Coturnix japonica: one gene and its partner. The protein of the gene in region 1 interacts with the protein of each later gene in a biochemical or structural test. Links are inferred from orthologs where the notes say so. Each region holds a gene or a part of one and is shown on either strand. Other genes may lie near its edges.

Region 1 (4,301 bases):
GGCAGTTTCCCTGTGGGAGGTGAAGACATTTTCTTGACTGCAAGAGAATAGAATGGAGGCTTGGGTCCAGTCATCTGAACTTTATTAAGAATTGCCTTTCCTTTGCTAGGTATAGCTCACAGCAAATACATAGATAACTCTTTTCCTTGTTTTTTCTTTACTTTTTTTGTTTCATTTCTCAGGTCCCCCTCAGCCACCTCCAGACATACGAGTAAACAAGAAAGAGGTGCTGATTACCAAATCCTCCATTAACTTTACTTTTAACTGCAGCTGGTTTAGTGATACTAATGGAGCTGTGAAGTACTTTACTGTGGTTGTCAGAGAGGCTGATGGTAAGTATCATTTAATACCGTTCTCTCTATAGCCTGTATGATTTACATGCAGATGTACACCCCTATCACTACACAGCAAAGTAACTTCTTATATAGTTGCTGACTTTCACTGAAAGTTTATGGCTCCTTAGCCTGGAATTTTAAGCATTCAGTCCTCCTCTCAGAAGGTAAGTAGCATCTGCAGATCCTAGCCAGAAGCGGTAGTTAGTTAGGTTCTGTGCTCTAGGAGATGCTCTCATGTAAGATCAGAAAGTTTCCACAGCAGAAGACTTACGTTGGTTGACAGATGCCATTGATGGAGGACATAGAATAGCCTGCCTTGCTCTGCACAGATCTCAAAAAGTAGTTCAGTTGTAAGGGGGAACACTAAGACAGCTTTTGGAAAACCCCAGTAAGCCATGCAGAGAAGGAAAAAGTAACATGATTCAGGTAGAGTTTGCTTACTGAAGAATATGACTTTACATGCAGAACAGAGCAGAAATTGTCCTTGCAGTATGTACGTAAGCCTCCTTTTCTGTAGTTGACCTATATGTGGCAATGCAGATTGATGTCTTGACAGTTAATACAGGCTTTAGAAGCAGCTTCATGTGTCAGTATGCTGGTATTTTATGATTCTTGATAAAGTTTCTTAAGATCTCTGTCTGTTCTATGATTCTGTGATCAGCCCTCAGGTTAAAAAAAAAAAAAAAGAAAAAAAGAGGAAATATTTCCACTGTCTACTTGGTTGTGCTTGAGCAGTTTATAGAGCTCTCATAGAAAGGGACTGACTACTCATTGCCAGTCTTTGGCCTACTTAAGTTTTATGCATGCTATTGCTAGTTCTCTTTCAGCAGACTTCTGTCATTTCCTATGTATTTTTTCTCTGCATACAGTAGACCACTCTTGTCAATTTGTGGGATATTTTTTAACTTGCCTTCCCTCCAGGAAAGCCTCAGAAGTTGGATAATAAGGATTTGGTCCATCAACACCCTGAATTTCTAATACTGCATTGTGTTAATGGCTGTGATATGTAAACCTTCTGTCTTTCTCTGCACATGATGTAGGCAGTGAAGGACCAAAACCCGACGAGCAACACCCATTACCTTCTTACCTGGAGTACAAACACAATGACTCCATACGCATCTACCAGACCAATTATTTTGCTAGTAGATGTGCTGAAAACCCTGACAGCGACTATAAAAGCTTTGACATTAAGCTTGGAGGAGAAATGGAAAATCTGGGAGGAAAGTGTGATCCAGATCAGCAAAAATTCTGCGATGGACCCTTGAAGCCTCGGACTGCTTATAGGTGAGATTAATGTTGGTAATTGTGCTCTGTCACATTATTAGGCACAGTGCTGAGTGTCTGACACACTTGAGCTTCTGAAGATAAATAACTGGGCCGTATAATGTTCCTTGTGTTTCATGGCATAATTTATAAAAGCTTTATCCATGCTCCATTCCATGGATAGAAACGATATTTTCATTAGCATGGGAATGATACCAATAGTTACATATAGTGTGTTTGTTTATCTCCTTTTGGTCAAGACCTTTCCTATAGTTAGTAAATCCCTCTTTAGAAACACTAAGTCATCTAAGTCAGAAGATTACATAACAAGAGAAGGCAAGAACGCTGCATAGAATTTATTTGTCACTATGTACTCACACAAGTCCTTTGGGACAAAGTAGAAAATTGCGCAGGTTGTTGTAATCCATGGCACAGTCCAGAGGCTCCAGAGCTAAGACTGGGTGAGCTGTAGGATATAGAAGAGCACTACTGCCAAGACCAAGCAGTTGGACAGGCTATGAAAACAAATGTGAACTCCAGTGCATCTCAGTCTCACCCTTCTTTCAGGCAAACACTCTGCCAAAAGATCTGCATGATGCTTACCAGACAGTGACATGTACAGAAGGCACATGCCAGGCAGTCTGTTGTCAATGGAAAGTCTTTAATCATCTCTAAGAGACGGGTCATTTCTTATCTGAATCTCTTATTTTTCCACAGTTGACTCTGAACATCTGATAAACTTAACTAGTAACTGTAAACTGAACTGGGTATTTTTTTTTTAGGATCAGTATACGGGCTTTTACCCAGCTCTTCAGTGAAGACCCAAAGGAACTTCCTCAACCACTCTTTGCAGACACCTTCTTCTCTTTACCAATCACTACGGAGGCAGGTTAGTTTCAAGCTTGCTTTTCAGTCATTGTAGCAAGTGATTATACATTGCAACTCAAAACGCTCTGGTATCCAGAACTGCTTGCAAGGATTTGTCATGCAGTGTCCTGAAGTCTGCTTTGAAATAATGCGGAAGCCATGGCTTATCCATGGCCCTTATTTGCCATGGATAGGCCATGAAATTGAAAATTAAAAGGTCTGCTTGGTAGAGCTGCTGACAGCAGAGAAAAAGGTGAATGCTCAGTGATGCTGTTGTCAAGAAAGCTTTGACATACCAGAAAGCTGAATTCCTACATGATGGAGCTGTGCTTTCTTTTGCTGTGGTTGGGAATGAAAAGTTTTGCATAACATTTAGAAAAAATTAGGACAGAAAACCAAGGCCTAGTTTAGTTGTTCAGACACTTTGAATTTCCTTTAATTTAACCATTTCCTCTAGCTAATAGTAGTAACATATTCTCTGGGCACTGGTGATTTTTTGATTCTTCATGTCTTTTCTTCAAAATGTGTAAAAACACTGTTTTGTTTCTAGAGCCTCTCTTTGGAGTTATTGAAGGTGTGAGTGCTGGTTTGTTTCTCATTGTGATGGTAGTGGCTGTTACTGCTTTGTTTGTCTGCAGACAGAAAGTTAGGTAAGTAGAGTCCTTTTATCAGCCTCTGTTATGAGATCAGGTTAAACTATTTTGATATAAGAAATGCAGTGAAAGAATATCTGTACACACTAACTATAAAATGAATGACTTAATAAATATTGAGAGCTGAATATATTCTTTATAGGAGATTGAAATATCCACTGATGTTAGCAAGAATCATCTCATAAAGGATCCCTGCAACTTCTTGTTTTCAGTAGGAGTCTGAATGTTTCTGAAAAAAATGGCTTAATATGCAAACTCAGTATCTTGTGTAAAAAAAATGAAATATTTCTAACCATTTTATATGGGAAGTTCTTGGAACTGTTCGTTTAGACTTTGTTATTTCAGTTCAAAAACGTCATGGAATTTTAGCATGACACTACTTCTGTGTCCATAATATCAGTTCAAGCTTTTCAGTTTCCTGTTGATTATTGTTGTGTATTTCACTTCAGAGATGAATTTTAAATAGCAAATTTTGAATACATTTTTAAAAAGCAAAATATTGTCTCAACTTTGAAAAATGCTTTATCTGTTGAAACCATTTTGCATGATTGAAAGAGATGCAACGTTACTGGTAGGAAATAGGATGCTGTAAGGTGAAATAATACAAAAGATGGCAATAATACAAGAAGGATGGTGATAGATATCCAAAAGGTTATGTACAGGAAAAACTCACCAATATGGATGCCTTCAGTCTGGGTGGAAAATGCTGAGGCTGGTTATACAATCTCCACAGACAAGCAATCTCCAAAAAATGCTGCCTTAGTGGTGGTCAGCCCTTAAATGAATTCTAGGAGAGGTGGAGTCAAGCTCCACCCCTTCCGGAAGCACAGCTGAATTACCCTCACCTGTGCTCCTGCAGCTGACCAGACACTTGTCTCAGCTGATTAATCAGAGGTTCAGGCTGTGATTACCAGTCTCCCATACAGACGCCCTCCTTAATGATAGTCTGTGCTGGTACCAATTCAGATGAGGAACCAGGTCCTTCAGCCTGTGCTCATGCACGCACCCCACATTACTGGAATTTAAGAAAACCGTGCCAGAGCTAAAAGCAATGCCACAGGGTCAGAGCCACAAATCAAAACAGACGTAAAAGTTCCTTTCTTCCATCTCACTACTTTACGTCATACTGTTGGCAGCTCTTAGCAGTACTGCACTGTAACAGTAAAACAGAAGTGAAAACATC
Region 2 (4,301 bases), about 6.3 Mb from region 1:
CTTGTGTTAATCTCACTGCACATTATCAGTGTCTTTCTTGTACTGGGGGACCCAAAGCAGGACACGATGTTCCAGGTCTCTCTGAACATTCTTAGCAATGTTCAATTAAGAAATATATCTTGTGTATTTAAAACACACTTATGTGCACTAAAAATGTGTACAACTAGTTTGAGGATTTCTGTCAGCACATAGTGTACTGGGCAACTTAGATCTGCAGGGTTGTGCTGAATTATAATATATTTTATACAATTATTGTGTGAAATACGATCAACAGTTTCTGCAACAGGGTGCTTTGATTACTACTGAGTTAAGTGCTTTAGAATTGCCTTTAAATGGTTAATTAAATATTAAATTTCAATGAATAAATATGACTTAAGCCACATTTCAGGGAAGCACTGAAGGTATTTGCATGCCAGCGAACACACATGGTCAGCAGCATAGTAAAGGGTAATTTTGGTCACTTCCATTCTGACAGCACAGAAGGGCAAACCCACAAAGCAGCCACTGCAAAGCCATACACAAATTGTCTGGCTGAAGCTGCAGCACTTGGTTCAAGGAAGGGAGCTGCTTACCTCTATGAAGATTGGATTTAATTTCCCTTATTACGTTTCTATATATCCATGAAAATGTCAGTGAAGTTTTATGAAGTCTCAGTTCTTTCCATGTTAATATATATGTTGCTTTTCAGCTCCAAGCCAACGTCCAAGAATCATCAGTTCTGTAAGATCTGGTTCAAGGTACATCATCACCTGGGATCATGTGAAGGCAATGTCAAATGAGTCCGCAGTTGAAGGATACAAAGTATGACCTGTGAAAATAAGTTTTATCAATGTGTATTCTAAATGAGCTGTATTTTATAAACTGAAATGCATTTTGGTACCTAATGGAGCTTAGATATAATTGCATGCTAAAAATGAACATGTCAGGCTCAGAGATCTCAAACATCTAGTAGACACAGGGCAGAGCTGATGGACTTAGTCAATATGATGAGAAAATATTGTGGGTAGTGAGCCGTTTTATGTTAACATTTAGATCTGCTCTGACTGTAGCAACCTGATATCCAGTATGATTATATTTAGTCTATAGGCTAAACTGAATATTTTTTGCCACCCTCTGTTCTTATCCTCCATCATTCAAACACTCATTCCGAATGTAGAAAATTGAAATTATTCTTCAAAAGGTGGTGTAAACTATACTACAGAAAAAGCAATGAAGAAACATGTTATTTAGATTCACCCTAGATAAAAAGGTAAAAGATGGTATCTGCAACTAAGTTTTGAGATATATACAAGCATAAAGCTAATACTCAGGCTGGAAAGCTGGGCTCGGGTGAACCTAATGAGGTTCAACACGGCAAAGTGCAAGGTTTTGCACTTGGGCCGGAAGAACCCCAGGCACCTGTACAGGCTGGGAGGAGTTGTCCTTGAGAGCAGCTCGGCAGAAAAAGACCTAGGGGTCCTGATAGACGAGAAATTTAACATGAGCCAGCAGTGCGCTCTGGCAGCCCAGAAAGCAAATGGGATCCTGGGCTCCATCAGGAGAGGGGTGGTCAGCAGGTATAGGGAGGTGATTGTCCCTCTCTACTCTGCTCTTGTGAGGCCCCATCTGGAGTACTGTGTCCAGGTGTGGAGCCCTCAGTACAAAAAAGGCATGGAGATTTTGGAAATGGTCCAGAGGAGGGCCACAAAGATGATCAGGGGGCTGGAGCACCTCCCCTATGAGGACAGGCTGAGGGAGTTGGGTTTGTTCAGCCTGGAGAAAAGAAGGTTGCGGGGTGACCTCATTGCAGCCTTTCAGTACCTGAAGGGAACTTACTCCCAGGAGGGGAGTAAACTCTTCGAAAGGGCTGATAATAGCAGGACACGGGGAAATGGTTTTAAGTTAAAAGAGGGAAGATTTAGGTTCGATGTTAGGGGGAAGTTCTTTACTAGGAGAGTGGTTAGGTCCTGGAACAGGCTGCCCAGGGAGGCTGTGGATGCCCCGTCCTTGGAGGTGTTCAAGACCAGGTTGGACAGGGCTCTGGGCAACCTGATCTAGTAAAGGCGTATGTTTGGTGGCCCTGCTAGGCAGGGGGGTTGGAACTACATGATCCTTGAGGTCCCTTCCAACCCGGGTCATTCTGTGATTCTGTAATACCTTTTCATTCACTCACTGTACGTATATAACTGTGTGTTTGTGGAAATGTGGGATTTTAATAACAGTGTTTGCTCTGACTTTCCTAGGTGCTATATAGACCTGATGGACAACATGAAGGCAAGTTGTTTTCAACTGGAAAACACACAATAGAGGTCCCAGTCCCCAGTGATGGTGAATATGTTGTTGAGGTCCGAGCACACAGTGAAGGAGGAGATGGAGAAGTAGCTCAAATTAAAATTTCAGGTGAGCAGATAACTTCTTGCTTCCTTCCAACACTCCTTGGAAATTTTGGAGTAAACATTTTCTTCTTGTGCGCTCCCCAGAGATGTCCACACCATTCACACCCAAAACTGGAGAGGTAGTTAGCTCTTCAGAAGTGACTGCACTAATAATTAATGTTTATCTTAGAGTCTTCCTAAAGCTGAAAATGCACACAAGACACTTCAGCAGTGGCCTAATTCAGTCCTGGAAGCACTGTCAGTCTTCCAGACATCACTGCTTCTACAGGTGCCCTCAGTTATGCTGCCACTTTCAATAGTTTACTGCAGGCTTAACTGCACGTGCATGCCTAGGGCTGAAGAAATCAACTTGCAGTAATGCTGTAGTTCCTACGATCTGGTACCTTGGCATCTCATTCCATTCTTAACTGCCACAACAAGTAAAAAGGCAACTCAGACAAAAGTTGTCCATGAACCAATTGTTAGGTGAGTTCCACTTCCCAGGGTAGAGGAAAAGCTTTTTCATAGACATGAAAAAGCAGTGAGAGATGCAAAATGTTCAACTTCAAAGTGGTTTGGATGATTGGTAAAGAGGGTGGCCAGGCTGATTCAACTTATGTTCACTATTTACTCTAAATACAAGGTTAGACATGGTCTGTACATCCTTTCCCTACGAGTTTTGCACCCTTTGTATAAAACAAAAAATATAATGAAGTCAGGGACTCGGACAGTGTTTTTGCAAGATTATGTTTTAAATGTGCTGTATTATTTTATTTTTTTCTTTACTTAAAAAATGAACTTTGGGGATAGTAAGGTTTAAACATAACAATATTATTGTCACACCACCGATGCAACCATTATTACATCGTTTTAAAAAGCTTTGCCTATGCTATATTGTGAGTGTACTTCATGAAAATGTGCCCCTGTTGAAAAGAACGGATCTCTAACCTGCTGTTTTTCAATAACATAGACAGTTTAAATCACCTAACGTGAACTCACTACTATCACTAGTCTTGTTTGGATGATGCATCTAATCCAGGCTTGGTAAAATGGAATCTAGAGGTGGAGAATCATGAGAGTTAATTAATCACTGTCACTGATCACAACTTTTTTTCCTGTTTTTTTTTGTCCTATAAAATGGTGTTCAGCTTCTTTTCTAACCACAACCTTAAATCCTTCCCAGAGTCCTATATTTCCAGGATGCAGCATCCCTTCCTGATTTGTGTAGCATTTCCTTTGTGTGTAATTTTATATAAGGTTGTGATTATACACAGTTGGTTTGAATGACCTTAAGTTCCCATGCTATCTGGGATGATGATTTTTCTTGGAAACCTGTAGAGGGGGTTTGGTTTCCTAGAAACAAATGTTTTGATGGTCAGCTGGCCAGAATGGAATTTATATGTTTAGAGTGATGTGAACTACAGGGAAAGCAAGGCGTAAAGCATATTATTTAATTTAGAGAGGACAATTGCCTTTAGGCATCTGGTTCCAGAATTTACAAACTAAATTAATTTCTTGTATAAGTGAGTGGGGAGAATGAAACAGCAAGCACAGGGACTGAATATAGCCTGGATGATGACCAGGATGGAACACATCCTAAGCAAACTGGAAGGATGCATGGAAGAGAGAGGAATGTTTAAAAACCTGTGTTTCTTCCAGATTTATGTCCTCATGCTGTTCATTGGGTATAACATCCAAATTAATTTACCTCATATACCTAAGTTAGGTAACTGAGTTTCCATTATAAACAGTGTTCATTTAGGATATAATTCAGATATTTAAACATTCAACAGCTTTAGCAACGCTCTTGGCACTAGACATGCCCTAGATTACCAGGGATGTCCATGTAATGCTGGCAGTATGACAGGTTCTACAGGAGACCTTGAATCTTCTGTATCAGCAACTGGAGACCAGGCAGGATCTTAGAAGCACCATTTGCCCTTTATT

Evidence for each region.
Region 2: the proteins of PTPRB (region 1) and CNTN1 form a complex in vitro, tested with the Homo sapiens proteins (2 studies listed by BioGRID). The link is inferred for Coturnix japonica from reciprocal best matches to the Homo sapiens genes PTPRB and CNTN1.

What each region holds. Positions count from the first base shown.
Region 1 is NC_029516.1:32,508,790-32,513,090, reverse strand, and holds part of PTPRB (receptor-type tyrosine-protein phosphatase beta), read left to right. Parts: intron 1-182; coding exon 183-332; intron 333-1,375; coding exon 1,376-1,619; intron 1,620-2,380; coding exon 2,381-2,487; intron 2,488-3,015; coding exon 3,016-3,115; intron 3,116-4,301. UniProt on the Homo sapiens protein: Plays an important role in blood vessel remodeling and angiogenesis. Not necessary for the initial formation of blood vessels, but is essential for their maintenance and remodeling. Can induce dephosphorylation of TEK/TIE2, CDH5/VE-cadherin and KDR/VEGFR-2.
Region 2 is NC_029516.1:26,178,567-26,182,867, forward strand, and holds part of CNTN1 (contactin-1), read left to right. Parts: intron 1-688; coding exon 689-801; intron 802-2,222; coding exon 2,223-2,379; intron 2,380-4,301. UniProt on the Homo sapiens protein: Contactins mediate cell surface interactions during nervous system development.